Linked DNA regions of Elephas maximus indicus. The protein of the gene in region 2 purifies or fractionates together with the protein of the main gene of each other region. This does not show direct contact. Links are inferred from orthologs where the notes say so. Each region holds a gene or a part of one and is shown on either strand. Other genes may lie near its edges. The genes, in order: VPS39 and PLEKHM1.

What was found.
Region 1: the proteins of PLEKHM1 (region 2) and VPS39 purify together in Homo sapiens (co-immunoprecipitation; 3 studies listed by BioGRID and IntAct, with this or other methods). This does not show direct contact. The link is inferred for Elephas maximus indicus from reciprocal best matches to the Homo sapiens genes PLEKHM1 and VPS39.

Annotation. Positions count from the first base shown.
Region 1 is NC_064828.1:13,764,807-13,776,135, reverse strand, and holds the start of VPS39 (vam6/Vps39-like protein), read right to left. Parts: upstream 4,321-11,329; 5' UTR 4,171-4,320; coding exon 4,098-4,170; intron 1-4,097. Other genes in the region: TMEM87A (transmembrane protein 87A), read right to left, coding at 8,033-8,074, 10,651-10,681. UniProt on the Homo sapiens protein: Regulator of TGF-beta/activin signaling, inhibiting SMAD3- and activating SMAD2-dependent transcription.
Region 2 is NC_064837.1:51,819,836-51,830,640, forward strand, and holds the start of PLEKHM1 (pleckstrin homology domain-containing family M member 1), read right to left. Parts: upstream 5,335-10,805; 5' UTR 5,250-5,334; exon of another isoform or gene 5,216-5,249; intron 2,108-5,215; exon of another isoform or gene 1,707-2,107; intron 1-1,706. UniProt on the Homo sapiens protein: Acts as a multivalent adapter protein that regulates Rab7-dependent and HOPS complex-dependent fusion events in the endolysosomal system and couples autophagic and the endocytic trafficking pathways.

The DNA.
Region 1 (11,329 bases), on a different chromosome or scaffold from region 2:
CACCCTATGCAAATGGGTAACACACATAAAGAAACAGAGACAGCCCTAGAAAACTCCTGGAGACCTAATCCTGAGCCACAAGGTTGGACTTGGTCCCTCCTGGGAAGTAAGGCTGGGCCTTCTTGCTCATAGTTACCGTACTGAAGCTCCATCCAACAGTGCAAGGCCCTCCTATAACAACCAATTCATTCCTGGCCCCATGCAGGCCACTGCAGCAGTACATAGATGAATACGGTACTGGTCACTTTCCTTCTCGGGGTTGTACGGCAGACAGTGTTTCTCAAAGCATAAACCCCTGACTAGGGGCATCAGAATCACCTGGACTAATTAAAAACGCACCGTCCTGAGCCCTGCTCCCAGAGATTCTGATTCACAGACTCTGAGGCGGTGTCTTGAAATCTACATTTTTAATTTTTACTTTGTTTTTTTAATGTTTATATGAACCATTTATGCAGTTCCAAAGCTAAAACTATGAGAAGTCTTAGCTTCCCTCCTTGTTACTTCACCCTGTCACTTCCCTTCTGCTACAGGTAATCATTTTAGTCATGACTGGTTTATCCTTCCCTTTTTTTTTTAAAAAAAATACAAGTAAATGCGTGTGTATACTCACGTACTAAACACACTCACAAACCTGCATTTTTTACAGGCTCTGGTGTACACTAAAGTATATAAACCAGATTCTGAAATCAGACGTGATTTACTGGGTCTGTGACTTTACAAAGATTATCTAACTTCTCCAAGCTTCAGGTTCTTCCTCTATAAAATGGCATTGTTATTATTCCATTAAAGCACTTAGCACAAGGCCAAATACAGATTGGTACTCAATAAATCAAAGCTATTACTATTAGTATCATTTTTACTCTTAATTAAGAATCTATTTAACAATACCCAGCTGTGCGTCAAGAACTATCCTAAGCATTTCAGATACGGCAATGTACAAGACCAAGTTCCTTCTCTGAAAAAACTTATATTCTAATGTGGTGTGAAAAAAACAATACACAGAGAGATAACATAACACTGGGTGGTGATCATGATAAGAAAGGTAAGGCTTGGTAAGGGAATACAGCATTGGTGGATATGACACCCTCTTTTACCCAGGGTAGTTAGGGAAGGTCTCACTGACTTAGGTGACATCTCAGCAGAGACCTGAATGACATGAGGAAGGAACCATGTGGTATCTAGGGCACGAGAGTTCCAAGCAGAGGATGGATACAGCAAGTGCAAAGGTCCTGAGGTATATATGTGCTTTGTGTGTTCATGGAACAACAGGAAGACTGTGACCAGCACCAGAAGGAGCAAAGGGTACAAGTGTAGGAGATAAAGTGAGGGGTGTAACCACAGGCCTGAGCGTGCCAGGTATTGTCAGCCACAGTAAGGTCTCTGGAAGTAGAGTTGTGATGTGAAGCCACCAGAGGACTTTGAGCAGAGGAGAGATGTGATCAGATTGAGGTTTTCAAAGGATCATTCTATCTCTGTGTGGATAAAACACTGAAAACAGCACAAGGCAAACACAGTAGTAGGACTCCACTGTAATAACTCAGATGAGAGATGATGGGCCTTCATCAAGAGTAGTAATAGTGGAGACGGAGGGAAGAGACTGGATTCTAGGTTTATTCTGGAGGTGGAGCTGGCAGGATTTGCTGATGGATTAGATGTGGTGTATAAGAGAATGAGAGAAGTCAAGAATGATTCCAAGGTGTTTCGCCTGAGCCAAATAGAAAAGCCATTCACTGAGGCGTGGGATACTGCAGGAGAGACAGGTTTTGGGGGAGTGGAATCAAGAATTCTGTTTTGGCCATGCTATTAGACATTCAAATGAAGATGCTGAAAAAGCAGTTGGATAAACAAGTCTGGAGTTTAGGGAAAAGTTGTCATCGTCATCAGTGCCCACCTCACTGCCATTTCCCAGGTGAGTTCTGGTGTCTCTAAGACACCTTCCAGCCCAAATATTGTCTCGCCCTGCATGATCTGGCTCCTGGAGTTTCCTTGATGAACTTTCCATAAAAGGGGTGATGACTAGAAACAGAAATATTAAAAAAAAACCAAACCCATTGCTGTCAAGTTGATTCTGACTCATAGCAAACCAGAAATATTTAGACAAGAATAAAATAGAATATTTATGGCTGCTACAGACTGAAAATAAAGTAGCTCTAAGGTTGCTGTTGTTGGGTGCTGCTGAGTTGATTCTGACTCACAGTGACCCCATGTGACAGAGCAGAACTGCTCCAGAGGGATTTCCTGGCTGTAATCTTTATAGAAACAGATCACCAGGTCTTTCTCCTGCAGAGCCATGGGGTGGGTCTGAACCACCAGCCTTTTCAGTTAGCAGCCAAGCACCTTATCATTGTACCACCAGGGCTTTGAGGGAGGAGACAGTAAATGGTCTCTTGTAGCCCAATACCTCCTACAGCATCCTAGGAGGCAAAGGGCATTTCTCCTCTTCGGTGGGGGATCAAGTGAGGCCAGACGCTGGCATTTCAAAACTGTGTTCCTCAGAAGCAGAGGTACGGGGACTCTTTACTGTGATACAGTAGAGGTGGTGAAGGAGGCTCACAGATACCTGTACTAATGGTTCCATAGGGTATCAGAGTCAAGGCGCTCAATAATGAGTAATTTTCAAGAAGTATTTCCTATGTACGCTGGGACTCTGACAAGCTAAATCAGGTGTCATAAGCAGCTACATCAATCGTTTTCAGAAGCGTATGTCCTAGGCCTTGTGCTCCTGTAACAGGCTGCATCTAGTATCATTTATCTTGAATCAAAATCTGTTCACGTTTCTGAGTCCCCCACTGTGTTCCAGGAGCACAGGCACTGTTTCTTATTCATCCCTGTATCCCTGACCCTAGCAGAGAGATTGGTCTTGAAGGGACCCAACACATACTTGATGAAGAAATAGGGAAATGAATCCTTTGTGCAGTGGGTCGGCTCTTATTATTTTTTTTTTCTCCATTACTTATTTTAAAATTTTACTGAGAACATTTAATGACAGGAAACAGACCTTCTTGAGATGTCTGGATTAAGTAGGAGTCTCTGCTTAATCCAAAAGACTAGGACGTCTTTCTGTGAAGGTCTCATTTCAAAAAGGCAACATTAACATGTTGTGGTGAAAGAGCCCTACTGAAAAAGCCATGAAAAATTCCACAAGGATGACGGGGTGCCACAGGCAACAGATAATGCATACAATGCCGGCCACCACCACGGCCATTGGGGGTTCCTAGCTCAGTATAAGATCCCATGGGTTCTGAGCTTCCTTCTTATGGTCCTTGATTTCTAGGACTTGGACATTAACAGGAAAAACTGAATTTCTGCTTGGTCTCTGGTGGCTGTTATCAGACAGAACTACTCAAAGAGCACAGTGTTCATAGTTAAGAGTGAAGGTTGGGACTCCTGAAACATTCATTTGTATTCCAGGGCACACAAGAGATGCCTGACCCTGCTTTCTGCACTGGCCAATCCTAAAAGGATTATGTAAGCTTTTATTGGCTAGGTCTCATGACAGTCTGCAATAATGCTCTTTACCTACAGTTAGGTAACTTGGGCTCTGTGGATATGAGCAATCAACCACTTGGCTAGTTAAGAATTTAAAGTAACGATGTGAATTACCTGCAGGAGCCAAAAGTGAACAATGAGTGATCACTGAGGGAAAGAAAATAAGGCATTTGGTGTTAACTTGCTCAGTGAACAAAAAAGGCCAGTGTGTTTCACCTAGGAAAGAACACAATCACCTGGACAAGCCCAAGCCCCTGGCAGGCTGAGAACTCCCCAATGCACTGGCCCTCCAAACTGAAGCCTTCTTGGAATTGAAACGGATCAAAGCTGAGTACAACTAATAAGGAAAGCTCCATCTCCAACTCCGCACGGTGCGCGCGGGTGAAACGTCCCTAAAATGCCTGGAGCACTGGAAATCGCCCAAGCACCCCCACCGCCCTCCCTGTCCACAGCCGGTCACATCGCTGCCCTCCCTCGTCCCAGGCCCTCTCGGACAGCGACCGACCGGAGCCCACACAGCCAGACGCCTGTCCACTTTCCCAGCCTTCGCGAAAGGTCCGGGCCGCTCCCGCGCTGGCCCCGCCTCGGCCCGTGACCCCTCCGCTCACCCCAGGCGGCGAGACAGTCGATCTGCAGAGGCAGCTTTTCTAGGATCGGCACCGGCTCGAACGCGTCGTGCATCGCGGCGAGGAGAGTCGGCGCCGCCGCCGTCTCACCCCGAGGGGGCCGGGCCGGGACTGGGCAAGGGCAGACAGGGATCCGACCAGGGACCCCCCAACTACGGGCCCAGCTGCAACACAGCCATCATCAACCCCAGACTTCCGGCCGGCGTAGGCCCGCCCTTTCCGCCGTCGAGGGCCCGCCCCTTCCGCCCGGCTCCCGGCGTATCCTCAAGGACCGCAGGGGTGCTGGCTTGTTTCCGTCGTCGCCCTAGACCCAGAGTTTCTCTGGCGGGAGGCCGAGTAGCCATGGGCTTAACAAGGAAGGAAATAATCTTAGAACTTCCTTGGGCAGCATAGCGTGGTGGTCTAAGAATTCATGTTTTGGCGTCAGTCAGACTTGGAAGACCTGCCCTTTAGAAAGTTAGCCATGACTTCCAGGAAATTTAATCTCTCCAGCCTGTTTCCTACCCTGCAAAATGAGGGTAGTCTAAGTACCTACGATTTAGCGAGGCCTGACCCCTTTAAGCACTCAGTAAACGCTACGTTCCCATTGCGACGATTCTGACTCATAGTGACCCTGTAGGGCAGTAGAGCTGTCCCATAGGGTTTCCAAGGAGCGGCTGGTGGATTCAACTGCGACCTTCTGGTTAGCAAGTGAATGCCTAACCACTGTACCACCAGGGGTCCCCATAAATGGTGGTTGTTAGCATTGTCATTATTACTCTAACTAGAATGTCATTCTAGGGCAGTGGTTCTCATAGTGTGGTCCTTAGACCAGCAGCAGCAGCAGCAGCAGCAGCAGCATCACCTGGGAACTTTGTTAGAAATGTAGTCTCAGGCCTCACTCCAGCCCTACTGAATCAGAAACTTGGGAGTTGGGGGTCCAGCAATCTGTTTTAATAAGCCCCCAAGGTAAGTCCATGCACTCTAAAGCTTGAGAAGGACTGTTCTAGCCAGTTCTTCAGTTGCTGCACTATTGGTATTTAGGGCAGGATACTTGTTTTGTTGTGGGGGTCTGTTCTGTGCACTGTGGGATGTTTAGCAGCATCCCTGGCTTCTACCCACTAGATGCCAATAGCACCCTCCAGGGGGTTATAACATGTCTTCTGACATTGCCAGGTGTCCTCTGCTGGGGAGGGCAGGGTGGAGGCAAAATCATCCCTGGGTGAGAAACACTGTTCTAGGCCAATACTTCTCAAACCTTAAAGGGCATACAGATCACCTGGTGATCTTGTTTAAAACCAAACCAAACCCACTGCTGGAGTCAAATCTGACTCTTAACAACTCTACAGGACAGAGTAGTACTGCCCCATAGTGTTTCCAAGACTGTGAATCTTTACCAGAGCAGACTTTCACACTTTTCTCCCTGTAGAGTGGCTGATGGATTCCAACCACCACCCTCTGGTTAGCAGCCAAGCACTTTAACCACTGTGCCACCAGGGCTCCTTCTTGTTTAAAAAGCAGATTCTAATTCAGCAGGTCCCCAGTAGGGCCCTCAACTGAGCATTCCTAACGAGTGCCCAGGTGTTGCTGATGCCACTGGTCCCTGGACTACATTTTGAGTAGCAGGGGTCTAGGCAGCAAGAGTTGATTCAGCAATCTTGGGAGACAGTAAAATTAACCCTTTTAAAATTTCTGATCCCACTCCCACCAATTCAACTCTCTCAAGCTGTGTCTTACAACCTTCATATCCCCAGGCTTTTAGGACGATAAGAGACTGAGTTTACCGCAGTATTACTCTGGAGACTTAAAAATAACAAAAACAAAAACTAAATTTAATTTGAAAGCATAAGCTGTATCTGGTAGCCCTGCCTCCTTCAGGAAAACATCAGGTATGTCCTTTACAAATGCTGTATCTGAAAATCAAATGACATATTTTAAAGTAGTCAGAAACACAAAAACCGCTAAGCAAATCTTGTGTTATGGCTGACTTTCACCAGATAGGCTGATCACCTTCTTGAAAATTTTAAATTGCCAACTGCTGTGCTAGAAGGAGGCCTATTTTTAGTTCCAGTGCCGAAAGCCAAGAACAAAATAAACAGTGTAAACTCTAAGGTAATAGGTCAAGGTGAAATTATGCATTCCTTCTGAACCTGCCCTGCCCCAAGAAATGACACATATTCAATCCCATTAACACAGGAAGTCTTAAGAGAGCAGAAAGAATTATCAGGCCTCAGCCTATAGAATTTATACTATATGGTCTTGCTGAATACAGATTTTTTTTTTTTCCTAGTCTCAACTCAACATCTAACTATCCTTAAAAAACATCTGAACCAACTAAACTGCTGCATTATAACTATTACTCACCTGCCAAGTTTTAGTATTCAAGACAAAAGTACGCATGACAACAACATGGGTTACTGTCAACGTGGTTTGACAGTAACAACCCACGGCAATGGATTAGCATGGAAGTCAGTTCTTCATACTGTTAGTCCTTAGAAGTACTGTGTTTTGTTTTTTAATCACCATAGTGAGGAGCTACAGAGAAATGCTACATAAATATTCAGACTTTCACTGGGAGTTAGTGACGATTATGGTCACTGGATTGTACAGAATACAGGACTACCTAGAATAAAACCATGGAAGAAAAATTCCCTCAAGGCAGAGTTTTGGAGAGAACAAGTTTATCAGAATAAAGTCTGAAAAAAAATGAGAAAAAACAATAATTTTGTTAAAATTTTTTATATTAAAAAGTGGCACGAACTTTTTATGTAGAACAAAAATCTTGGGAAGGCAAAATTGGAGAAAACCATTAAAACAGAAATATAGTGCTTCAAATAAACCCCATCACCTTGCAATGCTTCTTAGTCTCTGAACCAACACCAGATATAAAAACAGCCAGTCCTAAAGAAAAAGCAGCATCCAGGGCCTCCACATGGCGGCATGCAGGAGTAACTGTGAATTAAGCCAGAAGGACCTGCTTCCTCTGGACCAAGCTCCCATTTCTGAAGCATTACAGTTCCTCTAGCTGGGAGCTCGCTCACAAGCACTTAGATGGAGTGCCTCTGTGCACGGAGTGCACCACCCAGTGAACGGCAGGAAGGCAAACAAAGCATCGCCTAGAATGCCAAAACGCCGCCCTGGGAGGCTTACAAAACAGTAGTTAAAAGTTCCCAAGTGTGCACCACATTGCCAGCAATGGGATATGTCACAATAGCAGATGTCAAAGGAGTTAAGCTAGTATTTCTAAGTTACATCTGAAATAGAAAAATCTTTAATATACACCATTTGTAAACAAAATTGCACTTGATTTTGCTTTTTTAAAGGATCTGAATCACACTGTAAGTGTCTCTCTTGCTTCGTTGTTGTTGTTGTTGTTGCTGTTCTTTTAATCACTGACAGAACAGTGGCTCCTTAACTCAGAAGGGCCCTTTGTTCTCAAAACTATCTCTGCAAGAAGTAACCTTGGCTTCCCAGGAAACTGAAAGATAATTAACAATTTCCCCCATCACCTATGTAACTTCCTAAATAAATAAAATCACAGGCAGTTGTTCCTGGAGATTACATATTATGACCTTGATGTCACAGTCCTTTAGAAGACGTTAAACTTTTTAGTTTGACAGGTTAAACAACTGAAACATTATAGAGGGCTCAGGAACAACACATATAAGTTGCATAAACATCCATGTCAGGGTGTGGGAGGGGAAGGGGTATCAATGTTGGAAATCAGAAACTTATAGATTTTTTCCATCCTATGAACTTGTTTTCGGTAAGATTCTCCTTGTTCTGACACCTCTCGCCAGCTCCAATGCAGCAAGATCAGGGAACAGATCAGGAAGTCGTTGCCTCCAGTAACCCCACACAGCAGTGGCGGAAGACTGACACGGAAGCTGATCTCTTCCCTGATACTAGCCATCTTCAATTGCAATTCTTCCTATTCTTTATTCCATTTTGGACCTTTCAAAGTGTGTGATCATTCGCTCCTAGGGGAAAAAGAAATGTTTAGTTAAAATTAGCCACATTTCAAGTATCTTCTACGTAGACTATGCACATGTATTATTTTCCACAAGTCCTTGCTCATGTTAATTCAATATTTAGAGCAATGGTTCCTAACTGTCTACTGACGTTTTAGAACATACAAATGTACAGGCCCCAGCGAAGAGCAACTAAATCAAAATCTCTAGGCTTCTGAACCTCAAACCACAAATTAAAAGAAATATATTTTAGGCAATTAAAATGATTAAATAAATAATTTAGTTAAGATTAAGCTTTAATAAAAATATGTACCTCCTCTGATTTAGGAATTTATCTTGAAGTAATACTCAAGGACGTAGGCAAAGATTTAGCCACAATCATGTCCACTGCAACACTCAGCGTTATAGCAAAATATTACAAAGAACTAAATGTCCAAAAACATAGGGACGTATAAACAAACTACAGTATATGCTTACAATGAAATAATATATACTAATTAAAATTTCATTTGACTATAAAACACTATGTACAATATCCAAATTCAGTTAAGAAAATTACATGTACTACCATTATAATTTCCTTTCTTGCAAAATTTTTTACCTTAGAGTATTTTTTTCACTTTTCCTTTGCTTCATTTGCCAAGTACCTATCACAAATGTATCCCAAACTCAAACTGAACTATAAATCCCTTTTCAGTATGATCAATCCCATCAGATAATCTGTGGTTTTCATTTTTCCCCCCTTGAATTATCCTTGGCGCTCTCTCATGTTGGATCCCTTACTTCCTGGATCCCATGCCATTCTCTTTCTTAGTTGATTTCCTCGTTTTTGTGGAGAACATTTTCCACTACTTTCCTGAGAAAGCACGCACAGGATATAAATTATTTTACCTCTTGCGTTTCTGAAAACATCTTTTTTTTTAACCCTTTTATTCACAGTTTGGCTGGGTGTAGAATTCTACACTGAAAATAACTTTTCTCAGAATTCAACAGCGCTGCTCTGGCATCTTCTCCTTTCCGAGGCTGCTGGATGAGAGTCTGATGCAGTTTTGATTCCTGCTCCTTTAGGCAATTTATTCCCTCACAAGTCATTTGTTCTTTTTCAGTTTTCAAAAAGAAAACCCTTGGTATTTACTAGGTATTATTACAAAGTCTTGCATAGTATTTGCACACAGGACTCGACAGCAGGGGGTTTGAGTTTTTGGTTTAGAGGCCTAAAGCCAAAGGGATGCCTTGAGGCAGACAATCAGCAGAGAAGACCCCAGATGGAGCGCTGTAGATGTATTACTGCAAGACGATATGGAAAATGTAGAACACATCGCAGTGTTATGTCGACAGGTTTAACTCTGAATGGTAGAGTTTTTAATTATTTCAATTCAACAGCTAAAGAATTTCACACTGTATGCTGCTTCACACAGCAGGTCAGCAGGAAATGAACAAACAACTTTTATAGCAGCCTATCTAATACAGGGAATTAAAATCAGGCAAGATGCTCCCAAAAGACTTTCTGAAATTAAGAAGTCCTGGAATAACCTAATATTCCAAACATGTCTAAAACTAGTTCCCATGATCTCAGATTGCAACTCTTACATAAAACTTCATTTGAAGCCTTGTAGATAAACCGTATGGAGGTATACTAAAAGATTAAGAACCATATTGGCTGGTAGAGACTAGATGAGTCCGCAAGATTATCACCCTGGGATACCCTTTGAACTTGGAACTCAAACCACTCCCAGAGGTCACCTTGCAGCCAAATGACAGATTGGCCCACAAAATAAATTATCACCCCTGACTACTGTGCTCCTCTAAATAATCATCTAAAAAAAAAAATCATCTAAATGAAACAAATGGAAAACATTCACCCTGGATCAATGACGAAAAGGTAAGCAGGGGACATGGGAGCTAGATTACGAAAACATAACAACAAAAATGGAAATGAGAATGCTGACATATTGTGAAGAATGTAATAACCAATGTCGCTGAACAATATGTATAGAAATTGTTAAATGAAAATCTGATTTGCTGTGTATACTTTCACCAAAAACACAGTATTTTTTAAAATAAGTATTCTTCAATTAAAAAAAAGATTAAATATCAGCAAAAACATTAGAGTACTAATTATAATCCTAGTTATTTGAAGAGGGTAATAATACAGATAACATTAAACAGTAGATAATTTTTAATAATTTATACTTTGTGCTAGTCTACTATATTCCTTTCAACACTTGTCCTTAACTATTTTTGCCGAGATTAGATTAAGGTTAAATTTGAATTTCTTAAAGATAAGGGAACTACACAGAGGCAGAGTATCGTATTGGTACCAAATTTAAACAGGCATCCTCAAGTAAGACCATATAACTCTGAAAAAGAAAAGCAAGACAGGTACAGGTAATACTGAGAGTTTTCTTGAATATCTGAGTTCTAATATTAGTATGTCCATTCTTATCCTTTTTCAACTATACCAACTATAGTCCTTTGGAGCCATTATTGAGTCAAATAAGTAGAATCTCCTTGACCAGAGGACTCATAATTTCCTACTAAGTCACCAGATTCACAGAGTTCACGCCCAAGATTTGATTACTGACCTCGTCTGAATCCAGAAGGGCCGGAAGTGCTCTGCAAAGAAAGAAAAAAACAAAAATACCAAATTGAACAATGTACAATGGTTCAAAAATGACAGTGGAATATTCATTTCCAGGAAAAAAAAAAAAAAAGGGCAAATACAAAAAAGAATCAGAATTACTGGAACTGTATAGAAAAGACAAACATGTTCTACATTCTAATAGGACTAATGTTTCATTGAAATTATAGCCCTGAAAAGAACTCAAAAATTTCAAAAGGTTTTTTGCTACAACATATCCAACAGGGGTCTAATCTCTAAAATCTATAGAATACTTCAGTACCTCAACAACAAAAAGACAAATAATCCAATTAAAAAATAGACAAAAGATATGAACAGACACTTCACCACAGAAGACACTCAGGCAGATAAGAGACACGTGAGGAAATGCTTGCTGCAATCATTAGCCATCAGAGAAATGCAAATCAAAACTACAATGAGATACAATCTCACCCTGACATCAATGGCACTAATCAAAAAAAACAGAAAATAAATGTTGGAGAGGTTGCGGGGAGATCAGAACTCTTGTGCGCTGCTGGCGGGAATGAAAAATTGTATAACCACTATGGAAAAATGATATGGTGCCCCTTTAAAAAGCTGGAACTAGAAACACCACATGATCTGGGGAATCCATTCCCAGGAAT
Region 2 (10,805 bases):
CTTCAAACCTTTTATCTCGGTTCAAATACCTGCCGAGAATCTGTAGTTCTAACAAGTTCCCAGGTGATGCTAATACTGCTGGTTAGCGACCAATTATGAGAACCACTAGTAAAGCAGTGGTTCTCAAAATTTATTATGCTTAAGAATCACCTGAGGATCTTATTAAACTGTAGATCCTGATTCAGTATATCTGGGGTGGAAATGCAAATTTATCAGCAGGGGTTCAAACCAGAATGAACTGACTCAAAGACCTATAATTAAATAAGAATAATATAGTATGCTTAACCCCAGAAACTACTGCTGAGATAATCGTTAAACCTTACACCAAAAATACCCCTGAAGTATTCTTTAAACCAAACAACCGTTTAGCTTAACCAGTAAAGAACGTCTGTCGTGAGCATTGTGTTCTTTTAAGGACTATCTATGTGGGATCAAACTGACAATAGCAACTAGAAAGATTAGACAGGCAATTTAGTGGGAGGTGAGTTTATGTTAATGGCGGGAGGAACAATTTGGAAAAGGAGGGTGAGAATGGTTACAAAAGTCTAAGAATGTAATCAGTGTCACTGAATTGTACATACAGAAATTGTTGAATCAGTGTATGTTTTGCTGTGTATATTCCCAATGTCAAAAAATAAATACATAAAAAATAACAGCATATTCTTTGTGGGGGGGGGGGCAGTCAATGAGTGCTCCAGCCAAGTAACCCTCTGCTAAACCAAATTAAACTGAAGCTAAGAGGTCAGAGCAGGGCCAGGCAATTAACTGTCTCCTCAAACAGTGTCAGAAAGCCGTAAAATGACAATAGCTCAGAGGAATCCAGGAAGAAAGCCAGTCACTTGACAATTCACAAAAACAGGACTAAGTCTTTGGGATTCAAGCCACAATTCAGGGCATACCTTTCTATGAAGGAAGCCAAGTCACCGTACGTATTCACATCTGTTCCATAACGCCTCAGAGAGGAAGGAAACCAGCTCGGAGGCAGGAATCTGACCATCCAGGACACAAGAAATTGCTAGTGGAACCAGAACAGGGCTTTGGGTCTCTTGACTGCTGGGTCAGCACTCCATCATCCTACGGGCCAGGCCTCAAATCTACCATTGTATGGGATTGAGTTTGCTTCCTGTCCTCAAGCACTTTTCACCCAAACCAAATACCAAATCAAGAGAGGTAGAGCTTCAAGGAACCTCTACGATGACGGGAGTAATGGGAAAACTTGGGCAACACCATAAACTGCTCTCAAAAGATTACAGTGGAAGTCTGAGGTGGAGAGAAGGTGGTTTCTACCCTTTTAAGAACTCCAGATCACGTGACACAGAGGCTCTGTCTACTTCCAGTCCGAGCACCGATTTCTCCTTATACAGCTCTCTGGAGTGAGCAAAGCAAGCTTTTCTGATCTCATTCTCTAACTTCATTTAATTCTTAGAACAATCCTGGGAAGGAGGATGGTTATTTCCATTTTACAGGAAAGAAAACCGAAGCTGTGTAGAAATGGCCCTCAGGTAAGGGACTGAACTTTCTGCTTTCTGCATTCCAAGTCCTGTTTCTTTCCAGCACATCAAACCGTCTCAGGTCTCTGGCTCAAAGAATTTCAGGCAAAAGTTAGTTACAGATTTTTTAAGAGATGCAGAAGTTCCATTTTATCTACCATCAAACAAGGCCTAAAACCAACACGTCTTGCCAGTCAGATCTGTAGCCCCAATCACCTGAGCCAAGGTCCATTCCACAGTGCCCAAGTTTCAGAGCTGCCTTTCTTAAATGTTCTAGCACACAGTTAGGAAGGAACTGTCCTGCTTCCTCTTCTTCATTATACTGCTTGGCTTTCTGTATATGTCCAATCTCACTTCCTCTGGAGACCAAAGAGAAAATAATGGCTTAGACGAAGACTTACATTAAAAGAAGAAATGGATAAACTGGCTTCACTGCTTTCAACGCAAATCAGTAAACAGCAAGCTCTTCTCTTTAGACTTCTCAGCCACTCCCAACAGCCTTGCCAGCACCGGCTGAATCTAATCCAGTACCTGGTGGTTCAGAACAGCCTGGCATAGGACACTCAGCTGCTGTACCAATAGATGACTCATGTTGTTTTCAGTTGGAAAGGAATGACAAAGTAGTCAGTATGGAAAAGAATGACAAGGTCATCTGATTCAGAAAGGCAGTTGATCTTTCAGACATATGAGCGCTGAGTAAGTAAACAGCACCTTCCTTCCACCTGAAGAAATCCAAGTTGGATTTTTAGAAAATTGCCCTGTGTGGGTTGGGGATGAGGGTGGACTCTGTTGCAATTCAATGCTAGCTATACGGCAAGAAACTTCTAGAAGCTTATGATTCTCAGACCAAGGACTAGTGGGCCAGGACAGACCTATGAAGTTGGTGAACACCGCATATCTTTCTTTCCTCCCTCCTCCCTTCCACCCAGTAATCCCATTTCCCCCATATTCCTGACCCATATCCTGTAGGATTCTAGATAGGACCAAATTCTGAATAAATGAAAACAGGCACACTTTGCCTGACTTATTCACCATCGCATTTCCAGTGCCTAGAACAGTGCCTGGCACACAGTAGTTGTTAGTTGTTTTTGTTTGGTGCCGTCAAGTCGGTTCTGACTCATAGCGACCCTATGCACAACAGAATGAAACACTGCCTGGTCCTGAGCCATCCTTACAATCGCTGTTATGCTTGAGCTCATTGTTGCAGCCACTGTGTCAATCCACCTCATTGACGGTCTTCCTCTTTTCTGCTGACCCTGTATTTTGCTAAGCATGATGTGCTCAATAAATGCTTGATGAATGAATCAATGAATGAAATAAAAATAAAGCACAGAGCAATATTACTATTTCCATTTCATAGACTGTGGGAAGTTAAGGTATACAACTTGTAAGTGGTGGGGCCATTATGTTACTGTGACGGATTGAATTGTGTCCCCCAAAAATGTGTGTCATCTTGGCTAAGCCATGATCCCCAGAATTGTGTGACTGTCCACAATTTTGTTCCCTGATGTGATTTTCCTATATGTTGTAAATCTTAACCTCTATGATGTTAATGAGGTAGGATTAGAGGCAGTTATGTTAGTAAGGCAGGACTCGATCTACAAGATTAGGTTGTATCTTCAATCTCTTCTGAGATATAAAAGAGAGAAGCAAGCAGAGAGACAAAGGGGCTCACTACCACCAAGCTAGATGAGCTAGGAGCACATGTCCTTTGGACCCGGGGTCCCTAGAAGCTCCTAGAGCAGGGGGAGATTGATGACAAGGACCGTCCCCTAGAGAGTGAAAGCCTCCCCCTGGATTCGGACATCTAGCCTCCTAGACTATGAGAGAATAAATTTGTTTGTTAAAGCCACCCGCTTGTGGTATTTCTGTTATAGCAGCACTAGAGAACTAAGACCATTACTTTTTCCATTAAACCAAACTGTGGATAAGGCTGAAAACCATGTAGATATATTGCACTTTAATGGGGGGATACTGAACCACATTCGATTTTTGAGGAATCACAGACTATAACAGTAAAACGGTAAGCAAAGACAATGGGTTCTTTTGGGGGCCCTTTCAAATTACTGTATGAGGATGGCCAACTCTTCTAAAGCCAGGCCATCAGAGTTTGGAGAAGATGTGCATCAAAAAGCTCCAGGAGACTATAAATGCTGAGCATGGGGCCTGGGTGCCTCAGGATGTCTTTCTGCCTCATTTACTCTGAGATAACTTGGCTCCCTGTGTCATGAGTGACCTAAAACAGTCAAAACTCAATGATCCAGCACCTGCAAAAAAATGAAGCGATTCAGTGGTATCTGTATCCACCTAGGTCTCAGCCTCCCCAGGACCTACTCACTTATACTCTTTACAACATACAACATTGCCCCTGGCACCTATCATGTCCCCTGTGTTCAGAGTTGGGACTGACTTACAATCAGCACTGGCAGGTAGAAACACTGGGTTCTGTGACTACGGCCAACCTCACACAGTGGCCCTCCGAGGTTTTCAAGGCCAGAATACCAGCCAAAAGGAAGTGATGGCTTCTGTCGCCCCAGGCCTAATGAGCTGGATGAGTGACTGTCCCTCACCTTCCAAGTATTTCGATGATGCCTACCACTCCAGCAGTCAGCATCAGTAATTTAATATGAATGCTAGAAACAATGTCCCTGGGAAGAGGTACAGGGGATTAGGCACTAAGAAAAACTTCAACTCCAGAGGGGTCTACTCCTTGACACTTATTTACCACCTGAGGCCCTGCACACACCCACTCAAGCTGTTCAGTCTCTAATTGCCTGGCTCTAAACAAGCACCTAGATTTGGCTGCCAAAGGGCAGCTGGTGAGGTTGGCAGGGGATGCAGTTGAATGTGGGCTGGGTCAAGAGAAGAATGGGTGTGAAGTATGGGGGTGGGGACAGCAGAGGTGAAAGGACACAGAGACTTGGTTTTCGAGAAGATTGGATGAGGGTTAGCAGGAAACAGGGCAGTAAGAGTTGGGGGCAGTTTAGCAAAGACTTAGGGAATGGGGTGTCCTCCAGGATGGTAGGAGGTGGAAGGACGACTGGAGTTATAAAGTGAAAAAGTGTATGAACTAAGGAGTTAGAGACCAAGTCTGTGAGAACAAGATACATATAAAACCTGGGAAATGACTATGATCATAATTATCAAGAAGAAAGGGGTGCACTCAAGGAGGGCGCCTACTTCGGTGGTGGTTCTTAAATGAAAGCAGACCTCAGGGAGCACAGAAAGGGTGTATGACAGATTGGGATAAGAAAGTTGAACACAAAAGGAAAATCCCAAATAGTGAACTGGGGGAGGTTTGCGTAGTGAATGAGGATTGCCAGAGGGGTTGAGGGGTAAGGATGAGATGTGTTAGGGGGAGGCAGAGGAATGTGGCTGAGATTGCGGTTGGAATTGGGCTAGAGTGGGGTCTGGGGCGACGCTGCATTTACGCAAGATGGACAGTGAGAGGATGGGGGTAAGAGCTGGGTTCAGGTCACGGGTGAGAGAAGATGGAGGGGACGGCCCTGCAGTGGCAATGGAGGCCGAAGGCTGGGGTCAGAGTGGGGCGGACAGGGAACCGGGCGGGGCGGGGGGCTTGGGCTGGGAAAGGTAGGGGGCTCTGAAGTCGGTCTCGAAGCAGCCAGGGTTTGTGATCACGGAGAGGGCGGGAGACCCATCGTCCGCTCGCGTCTCCGCCCCGCCGCCCCTCAGCTGCCCTCCTCGCCCCCTGACCCCTGACTCACCAAAGGGAGCGGGGAGGGGGCGAGGGTCACTCACAGGCGCTGCAGCCCCTCAGCCTCTAACCGGAAGCTGCGCCCTCCCGGCCACTGACAACAGGAAGCAGCTCCAGCGACGTCTGACGCCATCACGTTGGCACGGCGCCCTGGCCCCGCCTCCGGCACGCAGAGCCAATCATGGAGTCCGGCAGGGCCGCGGGGCGGGGTCAGCCGCTCCCTCCGGGGGCAGTTCCCAGAAGCCAGTGTAGGGGCATGGTGTGGAGGTATGGGACCCCAAGACTGGTGCTGGGCCCCTGTTCCCACAGGGTATGCGACAGATCGTGGCTTCTGGGTCCCTGACCTGGCTTGGCCTCAGCACCATTTGCGTCACCTTGGAGCCGTCACTTTGCCTCCCACAGCCTCAGGCTTCCCGCTTGAAAAATGGTACCAATACTGTTTCTCCTGGAAACCCTGGTGCTGTAGTGGTTAAATGCTACGGCTGCTAACGAAGAGATCAGCAGTTGGAATCCGCCAGGCGCTCCTTGGAAACTCTATGGGGCCGTTCTGCTCCGTTCTATAGGGTCGCTATGAGTCGGAATTGACTCGACGGCAGTGGGTTTGGGCTTTTGCTTTTTAATACTTCTCCTGCGGTTGCCTCCCGGAGGGCACCAGCGCAGCCCGGCGTGCGGAGCGGTCCCAAGTGGGAATCTTTTCACCAGACGTTCGCAGGAAAGACATACATGTTAGGACTACACCTTATGCCACAGGAGTGCCCTGAGGTCCTCTGAGCACTCTTCTGTATTTCGCCCATCCGTCCCGCGTGGCACGAAGCTCAAGGATCCGCTCATTCTCATCTAGCCATTAAGTTTATTCTTTCCATCGTAGAATGTGACATTTCTCTTTCAAATGGACTCAGAACAAAATATCAAAAAGTAGCTATCGCAGCGAAGTGCTCGCAGGGCCCGGTAACTGGGCCGCCTTAGCCGGGAATGTCTTGGACAAATGGGGGCCTGAGAGCCTGAATATGAGCGGGAAAAGGGGGGAGGAGTGCTGCTACATGCAAGTCCTAAGGACATACAGTGGTGCTTAGGGAACAACCCAGTTCTTGGAAGCGAGCTCCACTAACTTGTCTGGTGTCCTATGCTCCCTCAGACTCTCCTGGAAGGAAAGTGACTCTGACACTTCTGAGGTCGGGGTCCCAGCCCCTGCTTCCACTCTAATGCTGCAGTTGTGTTACAGGAATAAGGTTCTTGCCTCTCACTGGTCAAAAATGAGCAGGTAAGGCATGTAGAGTTTTCCGCATGAGCAGAGCTGTATTGAAGAGGTTTGCAAGGGGAAATGAGGAGAGCCTAAAGCAACGCATACACCCGTCTCACAGAACAAAAGATGGGCCTGGGTTTTTAAAAGTTCTTGGGCCGGTGGAAGGCATTATGCTGAGAGAAATTAGTCAGCTGCAAAAGGACAAATATTGTATAAGACCACTATTATAAGAACTTGAGAAATAGTTTTAACAGAGAGGAAAATATTCTTTGATGGTTATGAGAGGGGGGAGGGAGGGAGAAAGGAAGAGGAGTATTCACTAATTAGATGGTAGATAAGAACTACTTTAGGTGAAGGGAAAGACAACACACAATATAGGAGAGGTCAGCACAACTGGACTGAACCAAAAGCAAAGAAGTTTCCTGAATAAACTGAATGCTTTGAAGGCCAGCGTAGCAGGGTCGGGGGTTTGGGAACCATGGTTTCAGGGGACATCTAAGTCAATTGGCATAGTAAAATCTATTAAGAAAACATTCTGCATCCCACTTTGAAGAGTGGGCGTCAGGGGTCTTAAACGCTAGCAAGCAGCCATCTAAGATGAATCAATTGGTCTTAACCCACCTGGATCAAAGGAGAATGAAGAACAAGGACACAAGGTAATTAAAATGAGCCCAAGAGACAGAAAGGGCCACATAAACCAAAGACTACATCAGCCTGAGACCAGAAGAACTAGATGGTGCCTGGCTACAACCGATGACTGCCGTGACAGGGAACACAACAGAGAACCCCTGAGGGAGCAGGAGAGCAGTGGGATGCAGATCCCAAATTCTCATAAAAAGACCAGACTTAATGGTCTGACTGAGACTAGAAGGACCCTGGTGGTCATGGCCCCCAGGCCTCCTGTTAGCCCAAGACAGGAACCATTCCCAAAGCTAACTCTTCAGACAGGGATTGGACTGGTCAATGGGATAGAAAAAGATGCTGGTGAAGAATGAGCTTCTTGGATCAAATAGACACATGAGACTATGTTAGCATCTCCTATCTGGAGGGGAGATGAGAGGGCAGAGGGGGTCAGAAGCTAGTAGAATGAACACGAAAACAGAGAGTGGAGGGAAGGAGCGGGCTGTCTCATTAGGGGGAGAGCAATTACGAGTGTATATAAATTTTTGTATGAGAGACTGACCTGATTTGTAAACTTTCACTTAAAGCACCATAAAAATTAAAAATGTTCTTGGGTGGGAAAAGATTCATGTTTATTCACAGGCATAGGCAAGGATATGTTAACTTCGGTGCCTGTGTGTGCGCAGCAGCTTTCCAAGATGGCTCCTGTCCCGCAGGCACCTGGGATTCGTAGCAGGACTTATTATGGGGTGTCGTGTCTCCGCAGCCTCCTGGCTGCTGCTGCAGCTTCTCACTGCCCCTGGTGGAGGTCACACAGCGGTCACAGGTGGATGTTCTGCGCATGTCCTTGGGGCTGGTTTTCTCCAGCTACTTCTGAAAGACAACTTCCAGGTATTTTCTGATACCCTGCCCCATTGTTCTGGGGAATGGCTTTATTTTTGTGACTGGGCCCAATTTCTTGGTTGCTTTGTTTCCAGATTTGGGGGGCCCTCTGTTGTCTTGTCTTAATAAGTCCCTAGGCTCCACACCCAAACCCCTATTACCTCCCTGATAGTATAGCCTGTCTCTCTTTTACTTGCTTCTCCTCTAACCACACCAATCTCTTTGGTATTCCTCAAACAGGCACCCTCCCATCTCAGGGTCTTTGCTCCCTGTCTTAGTTGGGGTTCTGGCCCCCGACTGCATGGAGTGAACTGCCCCTTGAGTAATTCTCTTTCCAGGAGTGAGAGCCACCCCTCCTCTGTTTGAAGCTGGATAGGTCAGAGTGCATTCCAGAGAACTAGTGGTTGATGTTTGAGCAAGATTAGAGGTGAAGACATAGAAACAAAGTAGTCCCTTGGTGTTAAACTAATTTTAAGCAAGGTGGGAAGTAAGATTTACTTGTGAAATTCAGTTACCTTGGCAAACAGATAGTGTTTCTGGCATAATTGGTCCCGTGAGAGCATCGGTGACTTGGTACAAGTTTGCTCTCCCCCCAGATAAAGGACATAATGTCCTCGATTATTCCACTGCTTGCCCCTGCACCCCACATCCACTCTCTGCAGGACTGTGAGGAACCCTGTGGAATCGGTGGTCTCTTGTCTTGCCTCCCCGGCCTCTTGGCAGAGTCTGCTACCTTATGGTACTATTCTCATCTTGCTCTACCCTCTTTTGGGACCGCATACCCCTTTGTGTCACTGAATAAAGCAGTGGATTCTCGGGGATGGGAGGAGGGAAGATGCACAAACATTGTGCACATTTCCACACACACACACAAAATGTATAAATGGACCGTGCGCCCACTGAGTAGACTCCAGATGGAGGAGCGGGGGGAAACTCACATTAGTGTGACGTGGGGAGCAATGTCATCGCAGCCAACAACAAGTGTGACTTGAGCGATGATAACGTTGGGACCAGAGACGGAAATCTGAATGGTATCCTGGAGTAGCTGACTTTGAGCTGAGCCTTCCAGGTGAGTAGGAAAAAGGGTGATGCAGGCAAGGGGACAGTTACTCACCACCACCGGTCTGTCAGTTTGTCTTACTGTGGTGGCTTGCAGGTAGCTATGATGCTGGAAGCTATTGCACTGGTATTTCAAATATCTGTAGGATCATCCATGGTGGACAGCTTTCAGTGGAGCTGCCAGACTAAGACAGAAGGAAGAAAGGCCTGGTGATCTACTTTCAAAAATTAGCCAAGGAAAGTTTTATGGATCACAACAGAATATTGTTGTCCTATATAGTGCTGGAAGATGAGCTCTCTACCTCGGAAGGTGCTACACGGTGGCCACAACAATGGACTCAGACATGACAACTATCAGGAAGATGGCACAGGACGGGGCAATGTTTTATGTTGTATCCAGAGTCACCAAGAGTTGCAGCTGACTCCATAGATAATAACAACAACAGAGTTATTCAAAGTGGAAATAGGAGAACCATAGTCATCAGAATCCCCTGGAGACAGGCTCAAGATACAGATTCCTAAAAGTTTTTAGCTATGACATTTCTGATCAGCGCCTGATCTCTAAAATCTACATGGTACTGCAAAAACTCAACTACAAAAAGACAAATAACCCTATTAAAAAATGGGCAAAATATATGAATAGACACTTCACTAAAGAAGACATTTAGGTAGCTAACAGATACATGAGGAAAGGCTCACGATCATTAGCCATTAGAGAAATGCAGATCAAAACTACAATGAGATTTTGTCTCACTCCAACAAGGCTGGCATTAATCCAAAAAACACAAAATAGTTAATGTTGGAGAGGCTGTGGAGAGATTGGAACACTTATACACTGCTGATGGGAATGTAAAATGGTACAACCACTATGGAAATCTATTTGGCGCTTTCTTAAAAAGCTAGAAATAGAACTACCATACGATCCAGCAATCCCACTCCTCGGAATATACCCTAGAGAAATAAGAGCCTTTACACAAACAGAAATATGCACACCCATGTTTATTGCAGCACTGTTTACAATAGCAAAAAGATGGAAGCAACCAAGGTCCCCATCAACAGATGAATGGATAAGTAAATTATGGTATATTCACACAATGGAATACTACGCATCAATTAACAGTGAGGAATCTGTGAAACATTTCATAACATGGAGGAAACTGGAAGGCATTGTGCTGAGTGAAATTAGTTGCAAAAGGACAAATATTGTATAAGACAACTATTATAAGAACTTGAGAAATAGTTTTAACAGAGAGGAAAATATTCTTTGATGGTTATGAGATGGGGAGGGAGGGAGAAAGGAAGAGGAGTATTCACTAATTAGATGGTAGATAAGAACTACTTTAGGTGAAGGGAAAGACAGCACACAATACAGGCGAGGTCAGCACAACTGGACTAAACCAAAAGCGAAGTTTTCTGAATAAACTGAATGTTTCGAAGGCCAGTGTAGCAGGGGCAGGGGTTTGGGGACCATGATTTCAGGGGACATGTAAGTCAATTGGTATAATAAAATCTATTAAGAAAACATTCCGCATCCCACTTTGAAGAGTGGCATCTGGGGTCTTAAACGCTAGCAAGCAGCCATCTAAGATGCATCAATTGGTCTCAACCCACCTGGATCAAAGGAGAACGAAGAACACCAAGGACACAAGGTCATTACAAGCCCAAGAGACAGAAAGGGCCACATAAACCAGAGACTACATCAGCCTGAGACCAGAAGAACTAGATGGTGCCTGGCTACCACCGATGACTGCCCTGACAGGGAACACAACAGAGAACCCCTGAGGGAGCAGGAGAG